4 linked regions of the Struthio camelus genome follow. The protein of the gene in region 3 binds, or shares a complex with, the protein of the main gene of each other region. Links are inferred from orthologs where the notes say so. Each region holds a gene or a part of one and is shown on either strand. Other genes may lie near its edges.

Region 1 (7,178 bases), on a different chromosome or scaffold from region 3:
ACAGTAATCCATGAAGAAAGTAGCAGGAATCCCCTTTGAGTCCTTCCTTGATTTTACAGCGGGTCAGCTGAAATGTCTTCTTTTCAATGATGTACTGAATGGTACATCTGCATATATGCATATGACCTAGATTCAGGGGATGATCAGTGCAAGTAACCTTTTAAGCCTTGACTCAACTGAAGAAAGCGAGAAAGAACTATTGCAAAAATGGAGGGCCACAATAAGAGGGACCTTGTCCTTTGGGCTCATGGAAGAAAATATTCTTTCTTTTCATTCATTAGCTGTTAGGAGAGAAATATTACAATCTTGAATTACTCATCAAGCTCTAAGTGATTTTTTGGGAAGGTAGAATGAAGTAGAGGAGGAGGTGCATATTACCACAGTATTTTCTTTCACACTAATGATTGGGTTCTACAATGACAATCAAACGTTTTAAAATAAAGCTAACCCAAGAAGCAGCAGCAGCAGCAGCATGGTGTATGTCTAAATCTTTCATTTGTTGCTTCAGTGACAGACACAAAAAAGGAAACTTAAGATTTTTTAAATAATTCAGGTACAAGTCCGAACTACTTTCACTCCAGGAACTTTTCCGATAGTTACTGCAAATTGAGAAGTTCTTGCAGACCGTTCTGCAAGAACCCTTATTCTGCTACCAACTGATAATCTTTGTTATGCTATTATTAAGGCTTAAATATCTGAACCCTCAACACTACCTCTCTAGATGACAACTCTACTATTCAGACGTAGATATGGAAAAGTAGGATTTGCCTATTTCAAGAAAAAACTCCATTTGGCTTTGCTGAGCTGCCAGGATATATAATTCCTTCACTAGAAGCGTTTAACAGATCTAAGTAAAACTTCTCCGAACTCTGAAGAAAAGCCTTATGCTTTCTCATCAGTTGTGAACTCTGGTACAAGAGAAGGAAATGGGTTTCCACTACTATGCTCTTCCCTTCAAGATCTAATTGGAATGCCGCTCCTTCCCAGCAGCTGGCTCTAGCACTCATCTTTCCTATAGCTTACGCCTTTCCACTGCTTAGGAAAGATATAAATGATGCAATTCCAGTCAGTGTCAACATTATCCACAGCACTGTGAACATCACTGTAAAAAACGTTCTTTCCAGCTTGGTTGCAACAGTGAATTCCACAAGCAAACAAAGCTGTCTGCCTTCAGACTTCACAGGACAGCATTCTGATTTAGTTTATATTCCAAATCTGAGCATAATCTTTCCAACTAGAACGGGCCGAAACTAACTGAAAAGACTTAAAAATAGCAACCAGCTTCGGATTCTACGTAAGCTGTCAACACTGGTCTTCAATGTACCCAAAGAATTTCACTACGAATACATCAGATCTTATTTTAGTCCTTTCACGTATGAGTAGGCAGTCACACTAAATTTTCTGATAAGGATTGGAGTAATACAAACAAGGTGCCCCTAGGCAACAATATGAAGCACTAAGATGATGTAACAACTATTGGAAAGCTCTTATTCAATATTTCTAAAATATATTCAGAGACTAACATATAATCACAGACTCTTACCTGGATATTATCAAATTTTAATCCGGGCATGGTGAGATTCTCTTTGTCTATGAACACAGTGCTGTATTGTTGTGTGGCAACTGAAATTAGAACGTTTCTAGTTTCCTCACTAGGGAGCCAAGCATCATTTCTTCTGTCTAGTTCACTCATATTCAAGGCTGTGGCAAAAGGGTCGTCACTCCCAGCAAAAACAGCCTGGATTTGTGAGAAGGGCTTGGGGGATTGAGATATTTCTGGAGGACCACCTGCTTCAGTTCTCCCATTTCCCAGAGAAAAAGTAGGGTCAGGCGAAGCATGAGAACTGTCTCCAGTGGAAGAAATAGAGGACATTTGTTCTGGGACTGAAGAGCTTGCATTGGGATTACTGACAGAAATAAAACTGGATGTGGTAAATGAATCAAAAAAATCAGAACCTAAAGTATTAGTGTTAACAGTATCACCAAAAAACTTGCTTAGACTAGGACTTGGTTGAACTACCTGTGGATTAGACTTCACTGGAGTCTCAGTTATACTACTAAAACTGGGAGATTTTACCATCTGAGGCTCAAAACCATCATGCAGGAACAACTGTGGCTGAGTATTAACATTGTTTGCTTGGCTGAAAATGGTACACACAGGGATAGGCTCAGCTTCAGGAGTCGGTTTGCCAGTACTGGGTGATGATAGCTGGTCCTTAGGTTTGCTTTCATCAGTATCACTTGGTCTTGTTCCAACAGGAATGTTATTTACCAATTTCAGTTCCTCTTTCACTGCTTCCTGAATTGATTCTTCCTTTAAAGATGTCTGATCATCTGTTCCAATCTCAGAAATGTCTTTGGGTGTTTCTTCATGTTCAGTTTCACTCTCATTACTTAAAAACTCTTCCTTACCCACTTCTGCTTGTGTTTTTTGGTTGTCTTTGGCTTCCATTTGTTCTACAATCTCCTGCAGACAACCAAGGTCACCAGTGTCATCTTCACTGTTGTTTGGAGAATCTGAAATAATGACACTCTCCATCATTTGTTCATTAAGTTTATCTATAAAATTATTAGAGTCTTCTGATACGGTTTCATTCCCTTCAGACTCAAATTCGTCTCCGCCAAGATCAATGGTTTCCTCATGAAAGAGAATATCTTCCCGAGTTTTCTGCTGAACTCTGTCTCCACTGTCCTCTTCATCTGAAGCGTTCTTAGCATCCTTAGCATTACTCCCATTACTTTCCATTGCAACTAAAGAAAGAAAAATGAAGGAAGAATTAGTTCTGCTACTGAAGCCCTAGTCAAAATCACTATCCTGAAACTCAACAGCTAAACAAATACTTGATTTAAAAATACAACCACTTCACTATTTGACATTTCTCTCGGCATTTACCACAGAATAAATTCATCATAAGAAAAGGTCTTCTCTTTATTCTTTACTGTTCTGAAGTCCCAAAATACTAGGATTCAAGAGCAAATGCTTCCGATGAAACACAGGTTTAAAAAAAAAAAAAAAAAGGTATTTGGCCTCGCAAAGGCCAAATACTTGGAAAGATTAACTCAGCCCCAGTCTGCGAGAAGGGAAGAGCGGGTTCAGTCCCGGCGGAGCCGCAGCTGTCGCCAGGGGCTGCTGAAGCCAGGGCCAGCCCAGGCGGCCCCGCAGAAGCTCTGGCGGCAGCCGGGACCTCAGCGAGGCTGCAGGTAGCGGCGCTTCCCCCGCCCGCCGCGCAGACCGGGCCCGGGCCCTCGGCCCGGCCCTGCTCCAGGCCCAGCCGGGCGGCCGCTGCCGGGCTCGGAGCCGGCTCTCGCGGCTGCACTGCGCCGGGCACAGCGCGGCCGCCCGCGCTGGGAGCGGCCTCCGCCACCGCCGCCGCCGCCTCCCCGCGGCGCGGTGCGGACGGAGCCGCCGCCCTTCCTCGGGCCCGCCGCCCCCCGGGCCGCCTCAGCGCCCACCCGGGCGGTCCCCGGCCGGCGAGGGGCCGCCGCAGCGACGGCAACCGCCGCGCTGCGCGCCTGCCCCGCCCCTCACCTCAGCGCAGCGCAGCGCAGCGCAGCGCAGCGCCGCCCCGCCGACCGCCGCACTGCCAGCACCGCCGCCGCGCCGAGCGCCGCTCCCACCGCGCCTGCGCCGCGGGCCGGGCGGGCGGGCGGCGCCTGCGCCAACGCGCCTCCCGGAAGCGGCGGCCGACGGGCAGCGCCGAGGGTCAGAAAGGCTGGGGGAGAGGCGAGCGGGCGGCGGCGGCGGGCAGCTATGGAGGACGACGCGCCGGTGATCTACGGGCTGGAGTTCCAGGTGGGCGAGGAGGGGCCGGCGGTGGCGGCGGGGCCTGCCTGGTCCTCAGGCGCGCTGCCTGTGGGGCCGGGCGGGGTGCCGGGCCGTGCGGGGGTGCCGGGCCCTCGCGTAGAGCCGCGGGGCCGCCCCGGAGGCCGGCGCGGCGCGGCGCTGGCGGTGCCCAGCGGGAGGCGGCGGCGGGGTGAGGCGAGGCCGGACGCGCCGCCCGCCGCTGCGCCTCGCCGGCCGCGCCCCTACCACGGCCCTGCGGCAGCGCCGGGCCGTGAGCGGGTGAGCACGGGGCAGGAGTTGGTGCCTGCCGCCAAACTTGGCGCTTTGCACGGTGAATGCGTCAGGGCGGTGCCAGCAGGGCTTGTGGGTTGGCTTCCTGAACGGTCGCGTTCAGCCCGGCTGTTGGTCTTCTGCTCTGTCAGCAATTGCATGTCCCCGTCTGGAGAAGGCCTTGTCTCCTGCTGGGATGACTGGGGAACACCGGGGATCTCAAGGATGTTCCTGTGGTTGGTTTCCAGTTGCAGACTAAGCAAAAAAAAAAAAAAAATCTTGTGAGAAGAGGGCAATATAGCTGTTTCCAATGAATTTTAGATTTTATTAGGTTATACCCAACTGTTGAACTACTTAATGTTTGTAGATATTTCTGGATGTAGCTTCTGCATTGTTGGATTTGTCCCACAGCATGAATTTGGCCGTCACATCGCTGATTCTAGCAACAGGGAGATGATGCTGTGATCCTGCTACCTACCTGTGTTACTCTTAATAACTTTTGAATTTGTTGATCCTCTTTGTAGAGGAGCACAGATGTCACGTACAACTTTGTATGAGTTCTAGTAGAATAAATGGTTAAACAGTTGCATAGATGAGAGAGCTCCTAATTTATAATGCTTTTCCACAATTAAGTTTTTACTCAGCTCTTACATGTTCCATTTGGCAATGCCTGGGTTACCATCATTGTTGTAGTATCAACAGGAGGTGCTGTGTTCCTCCTGCAGCTGACAGAACAACACTTTCATTTTGCAGTGGATGGGGTTATCTAAGTAATTGTATGTATACACATGCAGATATTTTATAGCCGCCTGTACCAAAGTGCTCATGGAACGTGTTCTGGCAACCTGCAGTGGCTCCCTGGGCTGGGTTTTGATGTCCTGTTTTAATGTCCAGCCTATTTAGTTATATGCTCAGTAATCCGGACTGTATCGACAAATCTCTTTAGCAAACTGTAGTTTTATTTTGTTTTCCATTTCTATACTAGTTAGTGTAAACATTGATCTGTAGTATATGTTAGATCTGCTAGAGTCTTCATAATATGATATCGTTTTGTGATTGGCTAAAGATGGCTGCAACTCTTACTTCAAAATTAATATAAAGCTTAAATTTATGCATAGATTTCTTTTTCATCACAGAGTAGACTATATCTTGTATTTTAATGAAAATCATAGTTTCTTTTTTCAGTTGTGTAAAATAAGTCTTCCAAAATCTTGGAAAGACCATTGTCTGGGACCCCCATGGTCCTGCCAAAAAAAAAAAAAAAATACATCTCCTGTAGACATTTGATTTCCTGCAGAGTATGTAACAGGACTATCTGATGGGAGGATGGAGCAAAAGGACTAAGAGGATAGCTGTAATCCAAGAGTCTACACTTAATGCATTTAGAAACAAAATAGGAGAAGAAAAGATGGTTTTATGACTAAGGCAGAAAAGCAGCGTAGAGATGGAGGCTCTATTTTTGATCTCCATTAACTGCCAATGTGGCCTTAAAGCAAATTACATCTCAGTACTTTTTGAGACGGTCTCTAATGGAGAGGCTGAAACCTAAAATGGGTATGGTTTTTCTAACTTGTGTCACCAGGTCTAGTAAAAGATATTATTATTCTTTTTAAGCCTGGTTTCGTAATGGCTCTGTCATCACAGCTTACACTTCTCTCCAGCATACATCAGAAGCGCTTAACTGAGGGATGCATATCTTCAGAAAAAATTTTTGGTGCAATTGAAAAAAATTTTTGTTGTTGTTGCTTGTGTTTGGCTCTTTCAGTTATTTCCAGACTTTACTTCAGTTCTAAAAAAGAGTTTAGGGCTTTGTTTATTCAAAGTTGAGATTTGAAATGATGGAGCATTTTTTAAAAGAAGAAAAGGGTTGGGAGGGGAACTTGTTTTCTGCTTTCTTGCTTTGAATAAAAACGATATGTGGTAAAACTGTGAAATCTACAAGCTCTGCTAGGGATTGCAGACTACGAAACCACATTTGTCTCCAAAAGTCGGTAAGAACCTGCTTTTGACTGCTGTCACAGACAGTGTACCAATCTCTGATATACTTTTGATATGATCCAGTGTGCCCAGACTTTAAAATTTGACAGCATAAAGCTTATATTGCTTCTGGGGTGCTCCACTCACTAAGTTACTGGAAATCAAACTGCAATAATTTTATTATCAGTTTTACGTGCCAAGTATTTTTTATATATCGACATAACTAAGATTACTAGTAGACAAATCATTTACTATTTTTTTTATTTGAATCTAGTTTTCATCAAAATAAAGCTCAGCAGAATAAGAGTGTCTTCCTTAGAAGAACTCCATCATTCACTGTTCTGATGAATGAAAATGGAAACTAAAGGTATAAATCGTGAGCCCTGCAATTGTGTATAACTATTTGGTATATGTAATTACTTGGCAAAAAGTTTTACCAAATAACGGTGAGAAGCAGCTTTTCTTCAGAGAAAAAGCTAAGCATCTAATGGCAAAGCAAGATTAAAACTGATGATTAATTCAGTTTTCTGCCTGATTAGTTAGGTTTTTTAATCTGCTTTTTTCCCCTCCCTTGTTTTATCAGATGACTGCAGCTTTTTCTTTTTATATGGTTCATGCACTCCCACAGTTCCATTATAACCCACAAAGTGTGGTTTCTCAAAATGAGTGGTTTTCTGCCTCTTCAATGTCTAAGTACGCTATATGAATGTTGTGCAAACGTGCATAATCTGTGTGAATTCTAGCATGTGTGATTCTTTGGTGTTTTTTAAAACTTTGACAACAACCGGAGCAGGTCCTCCAACTGCAGTGAAAATGAGACAACTGCAGAGTAATGGATAATGAGTTAAAGCGTGAGATGCTGCCTCTCATGAAATGAGGGCTGGGTGATGTGACTATGGATCATGATAAGAAGTAAGGGGCAACAGTAATAGCTGCAAAACACTTCAGTACAGAAAAGTTATGCTTTTGAAAGGAACCTTAGTAGACTTCATCAGTATCCTGAGTTATGTGCCTGTAATAAACAGGATCTCAGGGGTGTAGTTGAGAGCCATTGTTTGCCAGCGAAGTTATCCAGTTCTTACTTGTTCTTTGCAGAGTTGACCTATATTTACCAATTTGGAATATACAGTAAGTTTACCCTTTGTTT
Region 2 (7,792 bases), on a different chromosome or scaffold from region 3:
AAGGAAAGCACAAGTAAGCACTGTGTAGTGCAAGGTCAAACTAGCTCTAAAAGCTTGACCAATACAACGTATGGAAAATTTAATACACCTAACATTGAGTACGTGTTCCTTCTTGACTTCATTCAGAACACTACATGCTTCATCCAGTGGAAGAGATTGCTAGCTAAGCCACTCCAGAAAGCTTCTGTAATAAGGTAGAAGCATGTCACAAATATTTCTTTAAATTTTTAATCTCCCACACAGATAAACATCCTGTATCTTGAAGACTAAAATGGCATCCAGAAGCAGATGGAGAGAAAACAAACAAACAAAAAAAAAAACCCACATAAACACACCCCTCACCAAAACACCCTACCTTAACCAAACGCTAGAGAGCGTGCAGCTAGAGCTGAGGTAGCAGCTTGAGTGAAATTTAAAATTAAAACCCACCAAATTCCACAATTCCACTTAAGTCATGTGTTTTTTGTCCACATTCCCTACTTTGGATCTTGTCTTTTAAAGACTCCTTCGCCCCTCCATTAAGGGGAATTTGCTCTCCTTTAAATCCAGAGCAGAGAAGGAGCCTTCCGAGAAATTCCATGACTTCCCTGCCAGATGTCTATCAAACAGGTATGGCCTAAAAGTTGGCTGATCCAGAGAGAAGCTAGCTGAGAAGGCATGAATGAACTTAACAAGCAGTCCTACCTTATGCTCCAAAATTTTATTGATAAACACTAGCAGTGTTTGAATAGTCTTAAACTAAAGGGTTCCGTAGTTACCAGATGCCCTTCCTCTAAGCTCTCATTACTTTTATGTTTTTTTTCCTTTATCTCCAGAAAGCTTTAAAATACAGACTACTTACAAGGAGACACATTATGCATATTACACTAACATATCATTTTTGATACACAGTATCAAAAGCTTCACTTGGACTTCGGAGGAAATAGTCAAAAACAGAAGCATCAGATTTTTAGGGTCAGCTGCCTTGAGCGTTCACTCCATTCGTACAGCTCAGTGCAGCCACAAATGCATTTTACACACATAAATGATAATATATTAAGAACCGTAGATAATGTGACAAACGATGGTCAGTTCAGGCCTTCTGGAAAAATGAGATCATCACAACTGTATACAGAGCAGTTTAATTAGCTTTCTAGTACCTGGAGGTAACGGTGTTTTTTTCTGAATCAAAACCACAGCAACTTTCGTATTTCGTCCCTGCAAACTTTGCCTAAAATAAAAATAACATAACATAATGTCAAGGTCTCATCCTATGTTTGTAAATAATCAGAAGAAAATGAGATTTCAATTTAGATGGAAGCATTAAAAGACTGTATACGAGAAATAAAAGCGAATGCAACAATACACTGCATCATCCACAGAATGCAGTGCTCTCTTCTTTGCTCACATGGGAGAGAACAGTTGTGCTGAGTTTAGAAAACAATAGTTAAGGAGTTTGAGTTGCCCTGAATTTGTGCCTAAGAAAAAAAATATTTATGCTTTATAATGCCACAAGGATTCTGCAATTTACACATCGCCGTTAGCTTGTAGTACATCACGAACTAGACAAAATAGCTCTACCTGACAATTTCAACTCGAGTAGCACATTCAGACTGTTTTTCTTTCCATTGTGGCTCCTCCCAGTCTAGTTCATAGAACACCACAACAAGTGCTGGAACCAAATTCAGGTGTTTGTTCATCCAACCGGTCTTCAGGATACCTTTCGGAATATACCACTCATAGGACGTTCTCTGAAAATATTTAACACATTAAAGCAAGCCATCAGGTCAGTTTATGGTCCTTTCAGTACAGTAGGAGAAGGGGTATTGCCTGTACATCCTTGCTACTTGGGGATACGTTTGTCATCTTTCCTTTGACATTCTTCCCTTCAAGCCTTTGTCTCCTAACAAGCAGGACATACACCTCGCTCCCAGGCATCAGAGCCAGATGGCAGAGACACGAGTAACCAAGAACGAGAGATTCCAGGTAGACTTTACAAAAGGGTTAGGTTCAGAAGTGTTTCACGCGCTTCTGTGAAGTACTAGGCCCATTTTGCAAAGGGTTTCCCATTTGCTCAAGAAGCTGTCAAAAGGATCCAAAACAAGAAAAGAGAAACCGGTTTGAGGTTTAGTTTCTTGCCAGCATCACTGAATTACGTGGCTTTCCAAGGATCAAACCCACCGATATTGCTTCTTAACTGCCCCTGCAAAGCAGAAAATAGAGCACAACAACTCCTTCTGCTGTGTCCCACTCAGGTAAAGACTTCACTTTTTCCAGGACACGCTAATTTCAAATACTTGGTTTTCTAGCGTTCAACTTAAGGTTTCATTACAGCTCAAACTTTGCAAGTACCTTAAAAACAGAACAACTGACGGGCAAGCGCTTTTACGGCAAGTCCCGTTAACGTGCTCTGCTCGCCGCTCCTGAAGTAAGGCCACCTGGTTCCCCACACATCCGTACCACGGCAACCGCGGCTCCCCCTCCCCACGGCGGCCGAAAGGCGCCAACAGCCTTCCCAGGCCCCCAGGCTCCCCCGTTTCCCCTCACACCAGCTGAGGGAGCGGCACCCGGGCCGTTAGCAGCTCAGCGAGCGGTGGACACGGCGCACCGGGGCGGACCCCCCCCCCCCCGTGTCCTCCCCGGGCCACGCCGCCGGCCTGCGCGCCCGCCCCCGCGCACAGGGCCCGAGGCCGGCCGGCGGCTACCTTCGTGCGGCACTTGGGGTACTCGTGGTCGCCGGGCAGCACCTTGAAGGAGATGGGCACGCGGTCGGCGCGGCGGTTGGCGCAGAAGGCGTCCCAGACGGCGCGGTGCACGGCGTTGTACACCACGTCCAGGCCGGTGAGGGTGACGAAGGCCATGGGCCGGCAGCACAGCTCCACCGGGAAGTCCCACTGCGCCGGCGTCATCCTCGGCCTCGGCGCGCGCGGCCGGCAGGGCGGCACCGGCACCTCAGGCGGCCGCCGCCGCTCGGCTCGGCTCGGCGCCCCGCTCCCGGCCCGGCCCCGCTCACCGCGGCGAGCTCAACCCCACACAGCCCGCCACCGCCACCGCCACCGCCACCGCCGCCGCCTAGGAGCGGCTGGGCGAGGGCGGGCCGAAGCAAGTGCCGGGAATCGGACGGGCAGCACGAGCAACCAATAGGTGCCCCTGCTCCCCCACCTCCAGCCACTCAGAGGGGACACGGGTGCTGACGACACTGGAGAAGCAGCCAGTCAGCGGGAGAAGGAAGCGAGGCGAGGCTGGCGGCGCCAGCCAACGGGAAGAGAGGGGCGGGGGAGGTGAGGCCGGGAAGAAGAAAAGAGCCAATGAGGTGAGGTGATGCCATCTCGCGGGGGGGGAGGGCGGGGCCGCTCAGCCGTTCCGCGCCTGCGCGCCGCGCTGCCTGTGCGACAGCGGGGTCCTGCCGGGGCGAACCGGCCGCGGGGGCGGGGGCGGAGGGGGCCGCCGCTGCCTCCGGCCTCCGGCCGCCGCCGCCGCCGCCTCCCCCCGCCGCGCGCGCGACATGGCGGCCAACGAGGACCAGGAGGTGAGGTCCGCCGGCGGCCTTTCCCGCCTCGGGAGGGGCCTGGCGTGCGGGCAGGGGGCGCCCAGGGCAGGCGGCGGCCGGAAGCGGCCTGCGCGGCAGGGGCGGCGCGGGCAGGCGTCAGGAAGGTAGGCCCCCTGGCGCCGGGCCGTGCCGGGCGCTGCCGGCCTCGGCCGGGGAGCTAGCGTCGTGCCTTGCCCCGGGGCCGCGTCTTGAGCTTCGCCCCCCCCCCCCCGGCTGAAATGGCTAATCGCTCTCTCGTGTTTCCTCCAGATGGAACTGGAAGCGTTGCGGTCTATATACGAAGGAGACGCGTGTTTCAGGGAGCTGAGCCCGGTTTCCTTCCAGTACAGGGTAAGGCAGCGTGAAGTTCTGTAGGTCGGGGCAAGGCGTTGCTGCCCGCGCGACGCAGATGTTTTCCTGTCGGACGGTGCAACATCCTCTTCGGCGTGACGTTACTCTGTGCGTTTTGTAGGTACAGCGCAGTTTTTGTAACGCAAAGGGGTGCTCCACAGGCTGTAAAGGCACCAAAGGCTAGATCTGTCGGCTGCTGTTCCAGAATCTTTGGTACGGTGATGCTTGATATCACACCGCTTAATATTTAGGCACCTGCCTCCAGTGTGCGTTTATTATCCCTTAACTAGGTAATCTGCTTGCACATCTGTCTAACGCATAGCGTATGTAACGCACAGAACTGTCAAACTGGCCAGAGCATGCCGAGTAATACTTGCAATAGCCAGTAGGAAATGACAGTTACAGAAAAGCGTATGTGTAAAGTCTGCGCCTTCCTTATTGCTCAGTTGCAAGGTTCTCATTTTCTCTCTGGGGGTAGTTTATGTGCCTTTTCTAGCTGCTAAGGAGGAAAATGCACAAAATGCTTTCGGTATGTATACTGGTGTAATTGGCTTTGGGGAAAAGTGCAGGAGGTTCTAGTTTGAGGTTTGCAATTCACTTTGGCATGAATTTCTTGCCGTCTTTCTCAAATATGATGAATTGGAAGTTCTCCTGGGCGTGGGCTGAGGCAAACCTTTGGACTGTCAGAGAACTTCACTGATGAAAACTTAGGTGCACATGGGACAAAAACTCTGAACTTGCTGTGTCCCTCAAGTGGGGTGTAGGCGTCTAAAACATTTTGATGATTTCTTAAGACTTCAGAATAGCACCTTTAATTGTAATGAGAAAGGTTGATTAGGAAATAGCACTTGAATCCCACCCATGCAAGTGCAGTCTTCCTTTATTGATAGGACTGCTTCTTTGCAAATTTTTTGTTCTCAGCAGAGTAAATGTAGCCTGCCTACCTGCCTACATACAATGTTGCATTCTACATTTGGCTAGCTTTTGTCCTTGCTAATTTTTCATAGACAGAGAATAATCATGGAAAAATTAGGAGAACCCAATTTAAATATTATATACTTAGTGTCAGATAGAGACCATAGCACATATTTCTTGTGAAAGAAAATGTGCATTATAAGATAGTATAGTACGATTAACTGCATGATAAAGTTGAAAGAATTAATATGCTCTTTTTCTGAACCTCATTTGCCTACCACATAGGTATTTTGTAATCACTGTGCTAAAAAAATTGAGATTAAAGAAAGACTTTTCAAATCCTGAGGAAAATGTAGCAGCATCATTCAGAGTAAGGCTGCCCAATTTGCAGGCTGCACTGACAGGAGGAGTGGTAACCATGCATCTTTCTCTATGGTTTTACTCTGTAATGTGCAGGCAGTGTTTTCCTGACATGAGGAAAACTCTGTAAAGCATACCACCAGTTCTCTTCATGGTGGCTCTGGGAAGTGGACTGCTTCACCGTGGATGATGTCTTGATAAATGTAGCAGAGTCCTGATTTAATGCCTTTAACCCTAAAACAGATGCCACTGAATATCACTTAGTCTACTCTGCTGACACAGAGACCGTAAACAAAATGAAAAACACTGATTTCAAAATATTGAAATGGGATCATTTGAATTTTGAACCATTTTAAAGTGCAGTAGCCTTGTCTCGATTAGGAATTTTTTTTGACTGCACTTCATTCCGCATAGGTCGATGAAGCCAGATTTTGACGCTTCTAAAATTAAGGAAATTCTTCTTGTGGTTTTAAAATACTAACTAAACCAACTTAATTACAGTAGTGTAACAAATCCATGTATGAAATGTTTATTTCTTTTTCTGTGGTACATTTTTGTTAGCCTATACTAATTTTCTGTAAAAAATTGTTTTAGTTTTTATTTCACAGAAGTTAACATAATCGTAAGGATCATAAATACAATTTAAATGAATCACTAAAGCTAAGTGTTTGAGAGAGTGTTTGACTTAGATGTTATTTCGGTTAAAGTGAGCCTTTTTTAACATAACGTTATGTTTTTTTTTTTCTTTTCCGCCTAGTTTCATTCTACTGGCTTCTTGACTGTTCTTTTGAGTCATTCTTTCTTATTGTAAGCTAAAATATCTGTAGGGTAAGACAAAAATACTAAAATTTTTACCTATTACTTGTGCTGTCTTAGGTCATTAATTTATTTTGTTCTGTATTTCACCACTGTGTTATGGTTTATTTTCATAATGGAGAAAAAAGAAGGTTTCATATTTTCTTTTCTCATATATGATTGTGTAGTATTTGCCTTGTAGACACTACAAAGAAGCATTTAAAACCAAGCAACATCTCCATAAAAATAACTTAGAATGCTTCTGCTCCATTTTCATAGGATGAAAACTGCAGAGTAGAGGTTAATGTTCATATGTAATACTTCTTTTCTAGATAAGAGCTTTATTTTCTGACAGGTAATAGCATGAAAATAGTTGTTATCTTCAGAAGAAATTTCAATAGTCTTAAGTGAAAGATGCACATACTGGCATTGTAATCTTTAATGAGCAACTGAAAACTGTTAATTTATGAGGTTTTTCTTCTCCCTCCAGATAGGTGAAAATGGAGATCCCAAAGCCTTTCTAATAGAAGTTTCTTGGCCAGAAACATATCCACAAACAGCACCAGTCATATCGATGGATGCTTTCTTCAACAACACAATGTAAATATTTAGGACAGCTTCACTCCCTATTTTTATATATTGGGGAGATTTGTTGGTTGACAAACTTTTCTTCTTCTGTCAAGATTGTAACTGAATTTTATGATTTCTTTTAGATCTTCAACAGTTAAACAAAGCATATTGGATAAATTAATGGTAGAAGTTGAAGCTAATCTTGGAACTGCTATGACGTATACGCTTTTTGAATATGCCAAAGATAATAAAGAATTGTTCATGGAAAATCAGCCTGTTAACACTGTGGTAAGTAGATAAACTGAGATCCTAATCTATTGCTTTTAAATCACTTCTCAAATATTTTATATGTAAATAGCAAAAAATGGTTATTAGAACTCTAAATACTTTATCATTCCGTCTTTAACATGTTAATCAGTATACTGCATATAAACATGTTAGTAAGTAAACAGTGGCACATGGAATATGGTGCCACAATGTTCTGTGGTCATAATTTTTCTATATATATTTTTATATATATATATATATGACAGTCAAGATATTTCAGTAGGTCTGGTTCAGTAATCATATTCAGATATCTTCATTCTGTATTTATACTGGCTTCTTAAGTATGATAGGTGAATGCAAAATATTAATAGCAATTTTTATCCTTCTCAGACTTCAGCAAGCAATAGTATTGCAATTGGAACTCCTGATGTGCCAGCAAGTAAGAAGAAAGATAAAAAGGAGCAGTTATCCAAAACTCAGAAACGAAAGCTAGCTGACAAAACAGGTTTGTTCGCTGTAACGCTGTTTTGTTTGAGCAGTATGGGAGTCTAACTTTTATAGCAGTGACGTCTTGCTGGAATCAGGATCAGTAGTCTCTTTGCTTATAAAATTGATTACTTTAAATCTATGATCTCTGTTTTACTTATTTTACATGAATTATGTGAAATGTTAGTTCTGATCAAAACAGCTTCCTACAGAGTACAAATTTTAAGATATCTTTTGTTATTATTATTATTTCTTTTTAATTTGTAACAAAAGTGCAATTTTCGAAAATATTATTTGGGGAGAGCATTTGGGACATCTAAAAGGTGTGCGTTTTGTTAACGGGCCCTGATAAGTAAATCACGTTATTAAGAACGTAATTTCTAAATGGTAACGTTATTTTTCAGATCACAATGCTAAAACATTTAACTTAGTTTATATTCTCAAAATAGAGCTGCTTCTGCAGACGCTCTCTGCTTTTAATGAAATGATGTGTTAATTGAAAAATGTTCAGCTTTTTAACTGATTCTGCAGAGGATTTGT
Region 3 (7,490 bases):
TACTTCCTCAGCTCCTCTATAATTTGAGGTTTTGCTGAGTACAAGGGAGAGCTAATTTCCAAAGAGATGAAATAAAAATTAACCCAATTTTACATTAAGAACTCAATGAGGTCGCCACTAAATAAAGGCCGGAGTACCAGTTCCCCCCCCCCACAAAAAAAACACCAGCCATTCACTCACACAATATTTCCTTCCCTTCCAAGGGCTTAAAACTGAAGCTACCAAACAAACCACAAGCAATACAACACACCACAGTTGTGAAGGCTATACAGCTAGATGCATATATGCATACATCCCGCTATTTTACAATCATATTGTTAATCACGTCTCTCTGCCTCTTATCTGGACATTACATGCATCGCAGAAATGGTCTGATCAAACCTATGAATGTACAATTTAGAACCTATCCTATGTTTCCAGGGTCTTCTGCAGGGGATACAGTTAACAACGTCACTCACTATGACTGTAAATGTAACAGTGCTTGCACAAACCGTGATAAGCTAAGTTTCCCTATCATAAAGTCCCACAAACTCTAGAGCTACAGAAATTGTTTGCCATGATACAAACTTAAGAAGTTTTATCGCACTGATCTACCCTTCTGTCTGAACCAAAGGTCTAGTACTGCTTTTCCTACCCTCATTCACACTGGCTTTCATGACAAGAAGTTACTTAGAGTATAATAATGTATTTTCCATGAAACTAGAAGAGGAAGTCACACTTGAAGTGCAGAAATGCAGTCAAGTGTGCAGTCTATTGAATCAGAATACCTAGAGAGCAGCATAGCAACAAAATCCACTGCTATGAACCTCAAATTCTCAGTTCTCTGACCCATAAGTCAAGTTTTGAATAGGATAGTTTAGACTGTCCAATCCTAGAGAGAACAAGAGCAGCACTGTTTCTCAACGACTCATCATGACATAGTCACAGCTATGAAGTTAAGAAAAGAAAACTGTTATCATGGGGATTTACATCAAGTTCATGTGGGTGTTCATTTATAGTACTACATCATGGAGCTTAGAGAAGAGCAATTACAGAACCATCAGAAGTTACAGAAATCAAATATCAGTGCTTTTCTACGTAAGTTTTAGAACAGTATAGAAATTCAGTCAGTATCAGTCTCTTAAAAATAAGATCAAAATCTTATACTGTACACACGGAGGGAATCTGATCTTTAGCCATAATTAACTAATAAAATTTTTAAAGGAGGATGAAACTGATTTTGTTGATAAGCGTGTTATATTATGGCACTTACGCAGGAAGCATTGAAGAGGCTTGAGGTTTGAAAGTTCCTTAACTGTTACAATGGTTAGAATAAAAACACTTACAACTAAGTGACAACAGAGCAAATATTCTTCAGAATGAATACTCCATTCTGAATTGCCTACCTGGTTGTGTTCGCTAAATGCATTCTGAAAGCTTTTTTGCTAAAGAACCTAAAGAGATATTTAAGAAATCTGAGAATTTCAAGGATTTGAGGTTCTGCATTATTATTTTTATTTGTGCTATATTCTCATGTGGCTCATGAGTGTTGCTAAAGAACAAAAGGGAAAAATATTAATAATATTTAACCATAACTTGTTTATAAATAAGTTGCTAAGATTTGCATCAGAATTAAGATAGATTTCAACACATACTAGCTTTTAAGTTGGCACCATTCACCTAAACAGTAATACAAGAATTCAGCTGAAGTAACAGTACAAGCTTAGTTTTCCTGCAATGTTTCCTCAACATAACACAGTAAGAGATAAACCTCTGAGCTGAGTGCCTGCTAGAAGCCAAATCTGATAAAATACCAAGGCACTGCTACTCTGTTGAGCAGTTCTGTTGATTGCTGTTCAGCATACCGTTTTAATGAGCAGTATCCTGAAAAGTACAGCTTAGTTCAAATCATCCTTTGGAATTTTTTTTTGTGTTACAGTAAAGGAGCCTTACAGTTTCTCTAAAGTGGTCAACTTCCAGTTTTAATACTATTTTGGCTAAAGTCATTTTATCTCTATGCCACATAAGCAGTCCATCCCTCTCCTTCTGTTTACACAGGTGTTACACAGAAAAACAACAAAAATCACATTTGATAGAACTACAAGGGAGAGAAGGCAAAGACTTACAGCTGAAATTGCAATTAACACTCTAAAAGAGTAGTTACACTTTCAGTAACTGTCTCTCTTTAATAACAGCCTTACCATAATTTCCAAAAAAAAAAAAAAAGAAATCAAAAAAAAAGTTCCAGCTGTAAATATTTGTGAGACAACAGTGCAATGCTAGAAAAAAAAAAGTTGGAAGAACCACATGTAAAGATACCTTTCCCTTCAGCCTTTTGTCATGTCTCCAAGAGCTGCCTAATGCCCATGGCTCCACAGGAAAGAGAAGATCAAATACAATTAGACAGATTTACAAGTCACCTCAGGCAACCCTGGCAACCTTGCACCTCTGCATAGCCTGTCATGACACCAGCCCTGGCTAACAGCTGGCCCGGCTGCCACCACCCTGGCCAAGGGGCAGGGGTCCCACCTGCCTCCCTCTCTTCGGGCCAACCTTGGCAAGCAGCAGGACAGAGAAGGGGTGGCGACAACCCCGGCCAGGCCTAGACAGGCGAGACTCCTTCGCCGCCCTGGCCCTGGCCCGCCGGCCACTGACCGGGCCAGGAGGGCGGAAGGCAGCGCCGCCGCCCTCCCCGCCCCCACGTAAACAAGCGGCCCCACTCCCGGCACCGACCTTCCGAGGTGAGGCGGCAGAAGGGCTTCACCAGCTCAGCGAAGCTCAGGTTGTTCTTGCGGGTGAGTCTCTCCGCCTCCTCGCTGCACAGCGCGGCCACCAAGGGCACGAACGAGTCCTGGATGAACTCCTGCACCGACTGCACGCACTGGGCCATCGCCGCCGCTGCCGCCGCCCGGGGACCTCAGCCGGCCCCGCCACCTTCCTCTGCCCGCCCCGCCGGCCGGCCAGCCAGCTGCCTGCCCGCTCACCGCCGCGGCCTCCCCTTATCTCCAGCACCAGCCGCCTCCCCCGCGCGCTGCCTCTGCCTCCGCCGCGGCCGCTCAACAACCGTCCGCCGCCATGTCGCGCCTAAGACGAGCCCATCAGGTAGCGCCCGCTCCCGGCAGCCCTCGCGCTCGCTCATGTGATTGGGTGACAGGGGCGGGGCTGCGATGAGGCGGGGCGGCCGTTGGTGAGAGGGGGAGTTGTCGGCGCGCCCCCGGGGCAGTTGGGCCGTGTTGAGGGCGCGGGAGCTGCTCCCAACCGCCTCCCCGCCGGCGGGCGGTGTTTGCCTCCCGGGGTCCCTCACAGGGGAGCCGGCAGCGGAGGGGCTGGTTAGCACTGCTCCTCCTGCGCCCCTCCTCGGGTCAGCCACAGCAGGGCCGGCCTGGCTGCAGGGCGGGCCAGGCAGCTCGCCCGCCGGCCGCCGGCCTCCGCGGCTGGGGCAGCTCCGCTGTGGGGGTCAGAGCACGAACACGGCGGTGCGAGTTGTTCCGCAGAAAAATTGGTCGTTACGGACTAGGTGCCAGAAAAGAGGAAGGCTGGATCAGTCATGCTTTTGCAGAGCGGTGCTCAGTCGCTAACAGTTCTGCTTTTTTTTTTTAGTGCAGAACTAGTACCCTAGAAGAACAGTTTGGGAAGTTTTTTGTTTTTTTTTTAACAAAAAATAGGCACAATGGTTAAAAAGTGAAGAATTGTTTGGGTGTCTGTAGCATGCAACGTAGCTTCATTTTTGAGACTTGCCTATTAAGGCATGATATTATACAAGGCCTTACTTTTACATCTGTGGCCCAGGTGAGGATGGATGACATGGAAGCAAGACAACAGCGATGATCAGTGGTGATGAAAAATGAGTAAATTTTGAATACATGCTCACCGACTACTGTAGTAGGGTGGAGTTTTAACATGCTATCAGGGACAGGCCTCAGGATGAAGCTTGTAAACAAGAACAGAAAATGGCAAGAAGCCAAGCTTCACCATTTCTCCTGCTGCTAGAACTACTGTTTATGCACAACTAATTTCCCTGCTGAATCTTCATGTATAAGACTTAAAAAAGCAAAAAGAAGATGAGGTGATTTTTATGGTAGATACCAGAATCAATATATCCTAATTGGAAAACAAAACTCGGAAAAAATATCTAATTGTCTTTCCTAACACTCATTCCTAAATTACTAAATTTGTTAACTATACCAGTTGGGTCAGCAGCTTCTTCTGTGAGTGGAAAATTGGTTGATAATTCAATGTAGGCAGCAAGGAAAAGCTGTAGTCTCACTGTATTATTAATTACATGGGCTAGACTACTCACCATCTTTCCAGACTGAGTCCCAGAAACGTTACCCAAAAGCAGCTAAGTATTATAGGGGAAGAATATTTTGGCTTCAGTAGATTTTTAGAACAAGTCAAAGGTCAACATCCTGCTAGGCCACTCTCAATCATCTTTGAAAGGTCATGGCAATCAGTAGAGGTGCCTGAGGGCTGGAACAAAGCAGATGTCGCTCCAATCTTCAAAAAGGGCAAGAAGGAGAACCAAGGGAACTGAAGGCCGTCTCTAAGTATGTGAAGGACAAGAAGGTGATCCGGAAGAGTCAGCATGGATTCGCGAAAGGGAAATCATGCTTGACCAATCTGATAGCCTCTATGATGGGACAACTGGCTGGGTAGAGGAGGGGAGAAACAGTGGATGTTGTGTACCTGGACTTCAGCAAGTCCTTTGACCTTCTCCCATAGCATTTTCAAAGGCAAGCTCAGGAAGTGCAGGCTAGATGAGTGGACGGTGAGGTGGATTGAGAACTGGCTGAGTGGCAGAGCTCAGAGGGCTGTGATCAGTGGCACAGAGTCTAGCTGGAGGCCTGTATCTAGCGGTGTCCCCCAGGGGTCAGTATTGGGTCCAATATTGTTTAACTTACTCATCAGTGACCTGGATGAAGGGACAGAGTGCATCAGCAAGTTAGTTTGCTGATGATCCAGAACGGGGAGGAGTGGCTGACGCACTAGAGGGCTGTGTTGCTATTCAGAGGGCCCTCGACAGGCTGGAGAGCTGGGCAGAGAGGAACCTCCTGAAGTTCAACAAAGGCAAGTGCAGGGTCCTGCACTTGGGGAGGAATAACCCCATGCAGCAGTACAGATTGGGAACTGACCTACTGGAAAGTAGCTCTGCAGAGAAGAACCTGGCAATCATGGTGGACAAGTTGACCATGAGCCAGCAATGTGCCCTTGTGGCCAAGGAGGCCAAGGGTATCCTGGGCTGCATGAGGAAGAGCGTTGCCAGCAGGTGGAGGGAGGTGATCCTGCCCCTCTACTCAGCCCTGGGGAGGCCTCACCTGGAGTACTGTGTCCAGTTCTGGGCTCCCCAGTCCAAGAGAGACATGGCACTCCTGGAGAGAGTCCAGCGGAGGGCTAGAGAGATGATGAGGGGCCTGGAGCATGTCTCCTATGAAGAAAGGCTGAGAGAGCTGGGCCTGTTCAGCCTGGAGAAGCGAAAATTGAGGGGGGATCTGATCAACGTGTACAAATATCTGAAGTGGGGGGGGGGTGTCAAGAGGATGGGGCCAGACTCTTCTCTGTGGTGCCCAGTGACAGGACAAGAGGCAACGGGCAGAAACTGAACCACAGGAAGTTCCACCTAAACCTGAGGAAAAACTTCTTCACTGTGAGGGTGACAGAGCATTGGAACAGGTTGCCCAGAGAGGTAGTGGAGTCTCCTTCCCTGGAGATATTCAAAACCCGCCTGGATGTGATCCTGGGCAATATGCTCTAGAGGTCCCTGCTTGAGCAGGGAGGTTGGACTAGATGATCTCCAGAGGTCTCTTCCAACCTCAACCGTTCTGTGATTCTGTGAAACATCTGTGGCCTGTCCACGTTTGGAAATTCACGGAAGAGCTCTTCCAAAGTAATGTTTCAGAGACATTTTAAAGTATGGCTTGCACATTGACACTCTGAAGCAACAGTGCTTCTTGCCCATTCCACTTAATCCATTATTTCAGAACAGTTTATGCGTTACATCCAATAGATTGAAGTGAATCTGAAAAAGTCCCACTTCTATCCACACTAGATTGAAGTGAATCTGAAAAAGTCCCACTTCTATCCACAAAGCCATTGACATTAAAAGTTATTTTAAAATTCTGTTTCAGAAAAAAAAAGTGATACTGTTTTCTTGCTTTCACTAAGGTGAATATGAATAACAAACAATACAAATGCTGACCATTGTTTTGTCTTTCTAGAAGAGATTCAGTTTCTATTTCTATTTATTTGTTGCTCTCTGATCAGGCAGTATATGACTATTGGTGATCACTGGTAACCATTACAGAATGTGAAATGGAAATTTATTTTGTTGCTTACATAGAGCAAGATTTGTAAATGTTTCCTTATTAGAGTAACTGCATTCTAAATCTGCATTTGTGTGCTCAAAGTATATTTTCAGTGTATGAAAACACCTAGTACACATTTTCTTTTTACTCAGCCTTAGAAATTTTGTCCTTAGAATGTATTGCTTTGATAATAGCAGTTCTCTTCTAGTATGACTTTGTCCAAAGGACTGATTCTGTCATACAAGTTTTATATCTCCCAATTTGTGTTATAGTAAGACAAGTTAGTGTTTTCCCATGACCTAGAATTTTTGATTCAGGCTCTGACTTGTCTGCCCTACTAATGAGAGATAAACAACCCCATCTTCAATAAACATAGCAACTCAGGGTGTTGTATCCCAGATTTGTTGCTAAAAATAGTGTTGCTAAAGAGGATTCAAATAACATTATGTTTATTTACAAGACAGAAGACACTTTAGAAGAGATATATTGTATCATTGGTAATTATTTGCATCATTCCCAAGCCTCGCAATTTGTGCATGCTGTTTTGCCTTTAAAGTCTGACAGTCTCCTGGAAGGTATGATGAACAGTGAACAGAAGTGCAAAGGGACCTAGTAATAAGAAACTGTGAATCCGTGGTTTAGCCCTCTGAATGATTTAACTGAAAATACTATTTTCTTAAGGAGGAAGAGATGGGTCAAAAGAAAGAGCAGGTGAACAGAGGAAACGAAGTGAGACTATGCGTACTATAGGCTGGGACAGGGGAGTCCAAAAAAGAGTGAATAGAAAAATAGAAACTAAATAATAAGAGGGAGTGTCTTCAATAAACCAGAACAAAACATCACCAAGGCAGAAAAACATGTCCACAGTTTAAGTTGTAAAAAACTGGATGCTACTGTATCACTTGGGCCTGAAAACTCTTAGCCTCTACTCTTCTTCTCTGCTGCTGGCTGAGTGCTCTGTTACTCCTTTGGGCTAGACATTTTCCAGGCTTAGAAGCTCTGTGATTCCTCTGTGCAGATCACGTAGCCAAAATGCGTGGAGCTTACCAGTGCCCTGAGCTGCTGTCGAGGCAGATGACTTGAAAGGGGATTCTTCACCTGTTAACAGAATAATGCTGGTGTTATTGAGCAGGTTTAATGCAGAGGAAACAATTATAAAATTGCAAATGCTGGAATCTGAAATTGAATCCAGTATTTTCATTCATTTTT
Region 4 (7,910 bases), about 25 Mb from region 3:
CCCACCACGCGCTGAGGAATCTGCTGTAATCCGGGAAGTCGACGGATCGATTTCGCTTTAAAGCGATATTAAATGATAAACCTTCTATCCATGAGAGAGTCTGATGAAACATTGTCAGATGAAAAAGAACGTCGCCGTTTCATTTCTCAGCAGACGGTTCATGCACGTGGTGCAAACATTGCCCTTCCCCCAAAGAGAGGGATGAAAATGAGTTGAATTACCTCCAAGTTTAACTTTTCTAAAACAATTTTTAGAACTAGTTATTATACAAACACTTTCGGGATAATAGAAAATACAGTTAACTACTAGCTTTGGACAGAAAATGTCATTTAAGTTAATTATTGTTAATATGGCCTCCTTACAGCTCACTATTCAGGAGACCTTGTCACAAGTATATTGCTGGAGAAAGATTAAAGGATTTGGGAAGGGTCATAGGAGCACAAACCTACTTCCAACACACAAACGTTATATATAAATGCAGACAAATGAATGCTCTTAAACCATTTAGGATGATAATTACTTGAATAACCTGAACACATGTATTTCCCAGTGACAAGTCAAAAGCCTCTGTGAAAAAAAAGGAGCTGGGGATTTCTCAGCTGACAGTTAGGTGTCTCTCCTTAGAAAGCACCGCATTTATTAGCTTCACAGATGCATGTGAAGACACAAGGGACGTAATGCAAACTCACTTCTTTGCACATTACTGGCCTCTTGACAACTATGGAGAGAACTGGAAATCAACACTCAGCTACCAGACTTTTCTGTAACAGTTTTACTTTTAAAAAAAATACATCCCTGCTTACAAAACACCCAAAACCTCTCCCAACCTCACTTTACGAAGCTGTTTATTTTTGTATTCCACAGTAATCCAGGAGAGCAGACACGTTTCCCCGGATGTCACATTCTCTTCCAGCATGCTACTCATTTTCCCCCTAAGGCACTGAAAAACTGGCCACTGTAGGACAATGTGTCACAGCATTAGGTTCTGTCACAATGGGAGTTTAAGACAGAAATCTCTCGTCTTCGCAGCTAGCATATAGTTTAATAGTTTTAGCTATATTCTAGAAAATAGCTCACTGTGGGAATCAATTGTGACTGAAAAATTCAGCCTGATAAGGACTGTAGATTGAAACGGTAACTTCAATAGCATTAACACTTATTTGAAGATTATGGACAAGCAATTGCTTGGTGTGAACTGGTGTGAATTGATTTAACAGTAATTCAGGGATAATACAGATGAAACTACAAATGGAGCCATTCTGTTTCAGAAAGAATACAAAGGTAGGAAGCTGCACACCCCTTTCGGGAGGGAAGATAGCCATAGTCAAGCTTAGCCAAATTTAGGATGGAGAGGGTAGAGGGTGACAGTTTTAAATAAACAAAGTAATCATTTTTTGTTCACATACTTTTGCCAGGAACGTGACTGGGAGCATTTCTCACAGGAACATGATTGCTACATTTATTTCTACAATAACGATGCAGGTACTTCACTTTGTACTTTGTTGTGGTATCAGCGATACCAAAGCACCTTAAAGGTTTGGGCTCAGCTGAACAGAGCCAATGCTGATCGTTACTCATGAATCTACTCTGTACCCTTGGTTGGAGAGGGGTTCAGACACGCTTTTGACGTAGTTCATCTCAGCAGTCTGTTGTTGTTTCACACTTTTTTCTTGCAAGACAAAAAGGTGATGGTGATAAATGGCTTGCAGAAAGGCAGAGTTACGATTAATGTAAATTGGAGCATCTAATATTTTAGCATCTCTAGGAAATTATTTAGATTGAGGCTGTGTAAACACAGTGATCTAGAGCTTTGACACTGCTGTTAAGCTACTCAGTCTCCTGATACCCTCCAGGTTGTGGGTATATAATGTCCTGCATAATCCCAGGTGGTGGAGCGAGTCTGAAGAGAAGTTACCTAAATGGGCATCTATCAAAATCGGAAATGGAAGATCAGACTTGGCATTTTTTGCCTGAAAACCTGGCTCCCATTCAAACATTTCTGAAGCTGAAAATCTTCATCCTTTCAGCTTTTCTAACGGAGGAACTCCTACACTGAGAGTCTTACCTGAAACTTCAAAATGGTTAGGCATATTAGTGACCACTGTCAATTCAATCATTTTCTATTTGCATTTGTGCATTAACATCTACTTTACCAACGGCTCAGATTTATCTCCAAGTATGATACAGCCTTATACATCCCCACTCAATAACACGTCATCAAATGCCTTCAGAATCACTTTTTTTTTTCCTCGTGCAAGACAACGCTTCTGCTTCATCATAAACTTCGTTATAAACTGTTCTCATTATTTGTGAATGCTACTTCCGTATCGCTGTGCTTCAGATGCCAAGAACACTACTGCAGCATAGTTAATGTCTTTTGTGATGGTATGCATTTCATGATAAACAGCTTTTTATTTTAATATATCTTTACATTTACTGTAGCATGTGCCAATTGCTTATCCAGATACTGCGTTTATGCTTTGCCAGATTGACTTCTGCTTCCTCCCTTGTTCGCTGACTCACACACATTTTTTCACTGGTCCAGCACTTTCCTACTGTTCTTCACAACATAATGGTCAATGTCAATAGTCTTTTTTCTGATTACAGATCATAAATAATTTACTCTCTAATTACTCTCAATGCTCTTAAATGTGCATGGGCTGGTTTTAAAATGCCACTTTGCAACATAATGGTCAATTTTTTTAGCTATGCTCCACTTTTGTGTAAAGAAAATGTATTCGTGAACTTCTTTGGCTTTGCCAAGCAATGTGAATGTGCAGTCTTCATCACAGTCTCTCTGGAATAACTGGAAGAGCTTCAGTGCAGCTAGAATTGCTTCATGCTCTTTCTATAATATATTTGCTCTTTATCCGATAATACTCTAACTTATCTCAGTGACGTTTGGAAATTCTGCAGACACCTTCTCCAGATTCCCTTCCATGGGGAATTGTGATACATCATGTTTATCATGATTTTTCTTTTAATACCATACAATAAAGGAATGATACAGGAAAGCATTTTTCAAAGATACAGCACTCTTTTCTAGTTTCAGGCAGCTCACTAGTACATATGAATGAGTTCTGTCCCTGTTTGAGCAGGCCAACTATTCACTGAGAGGAAGCTTTACTACCACAATAGCTCTACTTCCACTCAGTATAGGACAGGAGAAGTCAAATTGGTAAATTAGGGAGTCAAATCAGTAATTTTCTTCAGTTAGGTTCTGTTTCAGATTCAGCCCATGAATTTGTTACAGTTTTGTTCTGGTTCAGAACACTAATAGTTCATACCAGTAACCTGGGATTTATATGCACTGCGTCACAGATAATGAATTAAAATAGCCATGCTACAGGGTGAGACCGCAGCAAGGAAAATTACCCCAGCCTCCTTTTCTGCCAAAGCTTGCACAATACCTATACTGTTAACACAGTGCTGCAGCATCTCTCCAGTTCCCTAAAAAGGAAACCGAGGTTGAGAAGCTCGACAGAAACTGTGGCATTGCACTGCGCAGGAAGGAAATGAGAGAGAGGGATGAGCACAACGTGTCTAATCTCTTCTCTTTTCCTGGGAAATACGTCCATACACAACCCAGAGATACATATTTAGAGTGAAACAAGTGAGATCGCTGCAGGGAAGCTCAGGTAGGCAGGTGGCAGTGACAAGGAACAATTCCTTACTATGGGACAAGAATTGTAGCTCTGGTCACTCCATTGTGTTTCCAGACACAGCGTAGTTATACCTCACCTGAGGTGCCAAAGTACCTCCACTGAGCAGGTTCTTATTCAAGGCCGCAAAGCACAGCAAAAAGGAGGACTAGTGACCCAAGCAGGAGTAGAAAAGGAGAGACTGATGTGACAGTGCTCTGCAGTTTGTAATTGGTACAAATAGTCTCTATGCTGAAGAGATTTCCACTGGGGCATATTAGTTTTCAGTGAAACTTGTTCGAATTCATCACAAAAGATACTTATTTCAGCTGGGTTCCAAGTCAGGTTTAAAGAATAATTCCTAGTAACAGTGCCAGTTCAGTCCTGATTCAAAAGAACTAACTCTAGTTTGAACTCTACAGATCTGTGGGTGGTTTTTTTTTTTTTTTTTTTAATTAGGAACAGGTTCAGTCAGTTACTGGTACCACAGTAATGCTGCCATTTCAAAACGTACTAAAAAAATAATTATTAAGTGCCAGTAACGTTGCAGTATAATGGTATCCTCAGAGCGTGTACACATCCACTTTGTGTCATGCATTGTGCTTCTGCCTCCTGCGAACCAAATCTGCATTAGCAGTGGGAAGGGAGAGATGCCAGAAGTTTGCTGTGCTCCCACTCCCGTCCTCTGTCAGTCGAACGCCCTCCTCTTCCCAGCACCGTGCTGAATGACAGAGCTGTCCCATGGGCCCTGACTCTGGGAGCAGTGGGTGGGTGAAGGGAAAAGCCTGAGAGTGGGACAGGAGCCAGACAAAAACGAGCACGTCCCGATTTGCCCAGACCACTTTACGCTACATTGTCCACCACTGAGTAAAAGGACCACTGACAGGTGCCTAGCTCCTATAGGATCTACATGGCTCCTAAACCCATATCCAGATGGCTCAACACCATCAGAAATTTTGGTAGTTTCATGGGTAACTTCATATACTGAAATCATGAAAGATACCAGCAGAATTCACTGTCATGGCAATGTCAACTGTTTCCACAAGATGTCACAAGTAGATAAGGATCAAAGAAACTGAGCCTGCAAAATAGCATCATACTATGTTATGCTTCGCTTTAGCTGTAACTGCCACAGAATAGCATCAACAAAGTTGTAACCTCAAGGGATCTTTGCAGTCTAAGAGATTTAGATTGTCTTTAAAGACTAATAGGAAAAGACGTCTCCAAATATTGTAGTGCTGGAACTGTCACATCACCCTTGCACTCAGGTATCGACATGTGCTGAAGATGTTATTTTTCATTAATAACCCAACATCACCTGTATGAAAACCTTGTCCTTATGTACTGGGCAAAACCTGCATCAGCTGATTATATCCTGCTAACAAATTCCCTGCATTTTCAATTTAATACAATTCTCTTTACTGACACTTCCCTTTCTGCCCCAAACTCGACACGTACTATTTCTGCACGCCGTGGAAAAGCCTCTACGCGTCTATTAAGCGGCGATCAAATAAGTGACCTTAGCAGACTTCTTACCAACACACGCAATCAGGCACACTGCTCGTAAAGCGCACTGAAAACTTTTGAATAAAGACACTAAGGAAACGCAAACAGCGCGTTATCCTTTCCGCGAGCGCCGAGTTGCTCGCGGAGAGGCAGAGTACGGCAGGTCTCATCCTCACAGGCACGCGCGAACTTTCCGGTCCAGCCTTATCAGCAGCAAAACCCTCCCTGCCTTCGGTGGGCCTGAGCGGACGCCAGCCGCTGGGAAGCGGGATACGAGTCACCCGAGCAGAGACGCACCGCGGTACGCTCCTGCACAGGCCGAACGTGTTAATAACAAAGACACTGCCCTATTATCACTTAATACCTTCCACGGGCCCTCCGCATCTAAATACCTCCCACGAGCGTCACAGCCCTCCCTCTGACTGTCCCTACAGCAGCTGAGGCGGTATTTAGCCACCTGCGATTACAGATCCGTGAATAATTTGGTAGCCAGTGGCCTGTAATTAGGGTAGACAGAGGCGGGGCTGCTCCCGAAGCTCAAGCGCCCGCCTGGGGCTACGACCCGCGCGGAGGGGCCGCGGGAGGGAGCAGGGCACCAGCCGGCGCCGAGAGAAGCCCCCTCCCGGGCCCGGGGAAGGGGAACCCCGACGGCGGGGCCGGGCCGAGCTCTGAGGAACCAACGGCGCCGCCGCCGCCGCCGCCGCCATCGCCTCAGGGCCCGCGGTGCATCACGGGAAGAACGCTCCTCCCGCGGGAGGCGCGGTGCACGGCGGGACTTGTAGTCCTTCCCCCTCCTCTCCTCGGCGGGCGGAGCGGTGCCTCATGGGATTTGTAGTCCAAGCCTCGCTGCTTAGCCGCGGGGCGCGGCGTTCCCTCTAGTGGCCGAAGACTACAGTTCCCAGCAGGCTGTGCTGCAGAGGCCGCCTATTCCCCCCCCCCCCCAAATCCCCGCCCGCCCGCGGCCGGGTTTGGAGGGCCGGCGCCGGTCGGAGGCCAGGCGGGGTTGGGGGTGGGGGAGGAGGAGGAGGAGGGGAAGATGGCGGCGCGGTTGAGCGGCGGCGAGAACCGGCTGGTGTCGCTGCCCCTTTCGCGCATCCGCGTGATCATGAAGAGCTCGCCGGAGGTTTCCAGCATCAACCAAGACGCTCTTTTCCTCACCGCCAAGGCCACGGTACCGGTCGCCCCTTTCACCTCCCCTCCCGGGCCGGGCCCGGTTGTGAGGGGGGGGGGCCGGGCCCAACGGCGCCGCCGCCGCCGCCGCAGCAGCTCTCGCTGCCTCCCTCCGGCCCTTTCCTACCCGCGCAAGCGGGAGGTGAAGCCTCGCCCTCCTGGCTGCTTGTCGTGTGGGGGGTTTGGGCGCCGTCCGCTGCGGCCGAGCCGCCAGGGCCCGCGGGAGCCAGCGTTTCCACCGCGCTCAGGAAACGAGCCCGTGTGGAGGCCGCCTCCTGCCGCTTTCCCCTCCCGCCTGCGGCTTGCTGGGCTGCGGGAGGCCCTGGCGAGCAGCGCGAGTGAAGTTCCCTCAGCTACATCCTGACCTTGAGCCTTTCTGAAATCCGTGGGACTCTGCGCAGGGCGTCCCACAATACGTACGGTTGAGCAAAGGGCGTTAAGTGGGGATTAACGACAACTGCTACCAACTCTATGTATTAATTCACTGCTTGACTGTTGACTTCGTTTTGATTTTTAGGAGCTTTTTGTACAGTATTTGGCTACCTACTCCTACAAGCATGGCAGAGGCAAGGAGAAGAGCGCTCTAACTTACAGTGACCTGTCTCACACCGCGGAAGAGTGTGAAACCTTTCAGTTCCTTGCAGGTATCTGTAGAGTAATAGTGAATCCAGGATGTAGTTTGGAAAATGAAACGGTGCTGTCACAGAAGCGTTCTGTGAGGACACGATTCTCCTACTGGTTGTTAGTGTCCTGTACAGCATTCGACTGTACCTCATGAACTACATCACTGAAAACACTTCTTTGCAAAAGAATGGGTATTTTTCCAGTGCTGGGAAACTACACAAGGCCTGTTAGTCCTCTGTGTATTGCTCTATCCGTTTCTTAGATGCAAACAACGCAATCTGAAAGCTTTCAAGCCTATAAAATGAGATCACTTTAGGTCTTTCTGTGTCAACTTCTGTTATCCCAGAAACTACAGATGTAAATCTACAAATCTTAATTCTCAAAGAGAGTCATTCTCTGGTTCCACTCCCCCTTTTTAGTGTGTAAGTATATGTGTGCACGCACATATACATTTTTTGCTGGTACTGAGATTTTTGTTTTAACACTTAGCTCAGAACAGATATGGGAAAAGGATATGGGTTGAGGATGAGATGTACCTAGCCCAGTTTTTCTCCGAGCACCTTATGGGCATGCTTTCAGAGCATGCAGTCCTGTTTTGTCACAGGTCCATCATTATTGCCCTGAACAATACCTTCCTTGAGTACAGAAAAACAATTTCCACAGAACATAAATGGGATGGCTATCCAGTTAAATGAGCACTCATTTTTATTTGATGTAAAAGTAAAATGAAGTGATTAGGTAGTAAAGAGAGTGGTCTGTAATCAGTTTTATAACATATATTCCTCATCTTTGATTACTTGTACCTTAAGTGGGCAATTCCCTCCTTTTCTCACAGCTTGTTCATAAGCCAGAGTGAATAATCTGGTTAGTCGCTAAAAGTATAATAACTTTTCAAAATTGCCTCTGTTGGACTTTGTTTCAGTAATGATATGGATGCAACAGTATTTATGAGATAATTTAAGTATTCAA

What was found.
Region 1: TRAPPC8 (region 3) and TRAPPC12 share a complex: the UniProt entries of both Homo sapiens proteins name them as parts of the multisubunit TRAPP (transport protein particle) complex. The link is inferred for Struthio camelus from reciprocal best matches to the Homo sapiens genes TRAPPC8 and TRAPPC12.
Region 2: TRAPPC8 (region 3) and TRAPPC11 share a complex: the UniProt entries of both Homo sapiens proteins name them as parts of the multisubunit TRAPP (transport protein particle) complex. The link is inferred for Struthio camelus from reciprocal best matches to the Homo sapiens genes TRAPPC8 and TRAPPC11.
Region 4: TRAPPC8 (region 3) and TRAPPC9 share a complex: the UniProt entries of both Homo sapiens proteins name them as parts of the multisubunit TRAPP (transport protein particle) complex. The link is inferred for Struthio camelus from reciprocal best matches to the Homo sapiens genes TRAPPC8 and TRAPPC9.

What each region holds. Positions count from the first base shown.
Region 1 is NC_090944.1:27,993,326-28,000,503, forward strand, and holds the start of TRAPPC12 (trafficking protein particle complex subunit 12), read right to left. Parts: upstream 3,004-7,178; 5' UTR 2,913-3,003; coding exon 2,894-2,912; intron 2,752-2,893; coding exon 1,544-2,751; intron 1-1,543. Other genes in the region: EIPR1 (EARP and GARP complex-interacting protein 1), read left to right, coding at 3,752-3,793. UniProt on the Homo sapiens protein: Component of the TRAPP complex, which is involved in endoplasmic reticulum to Golgi apparatus trafficking at a very early stage.
Region 2 is NC_090945.1:50,752,934-50,760,725, reverse strand, and holds the start of TRAPPC11 (trafficking protein particle complex subunit 11), read right to left. Parts: upstream 3,020-7,792; 5' UTR 2,889-3,019; coding exon 2,685-2,888; intron 1,731-2,684; coding exon 1,561-1,730; intron 1,211-1,560; coding exon 1,140-1,210; intron 1-1,139. Other genes in the region: RWDD4 (RWD domain-containing protein 4), read left to right, coding at 3,485-3,508, 3,779-3,859, 6,420-6,529, 6,643-6,787, 7,157-7,271. UniProt on the Homo sapiens protein: Involved in endoplasmic reticulum to Golgi apparatus trafficking at a very early stage.
Region 3 is NC_090943.1:142,843,513-142,851,002, reverse strand, and holds the start of TRAPPC8 (trafficking protein particle complex subunit 8), read right to left. Parts: upstream 3,010-7,490; 5' UTR 2,870-3,009; coding exon 2,713-2,869; intron 1-2,712. UniProt on the Homo sapiens protein: Plays a role in endoplasmic reticulum to Golgi apparatus trafficking at a very early stage. Maintains together with TBC1D14 the cycling pool of ATG9 required for initiation of autophagy. Involved in collagen secretion.
Region 4 is NC_090943.1:168,238,637-168,246,546, forward strand, and holds the start of TRAPPC9 (trafficking protein particle complex subunit 9), read right to left. Parts: upstream 3,006-7,910; 5' UTR 1-3,005. Other genes in the region: CHRAC1 (chromatin accessibility complex protein 1), read left to right, coding at 6,184-6,318, 6,835-6,961. UniProt on the Homo sapiens protein: Functions as an activator of NF-kappa-B through increased phosphorylation of the IKK complex. May function in neuronal cells differentiation. May play a role in vesicular transport from endoplasmic reticulum to Golgi.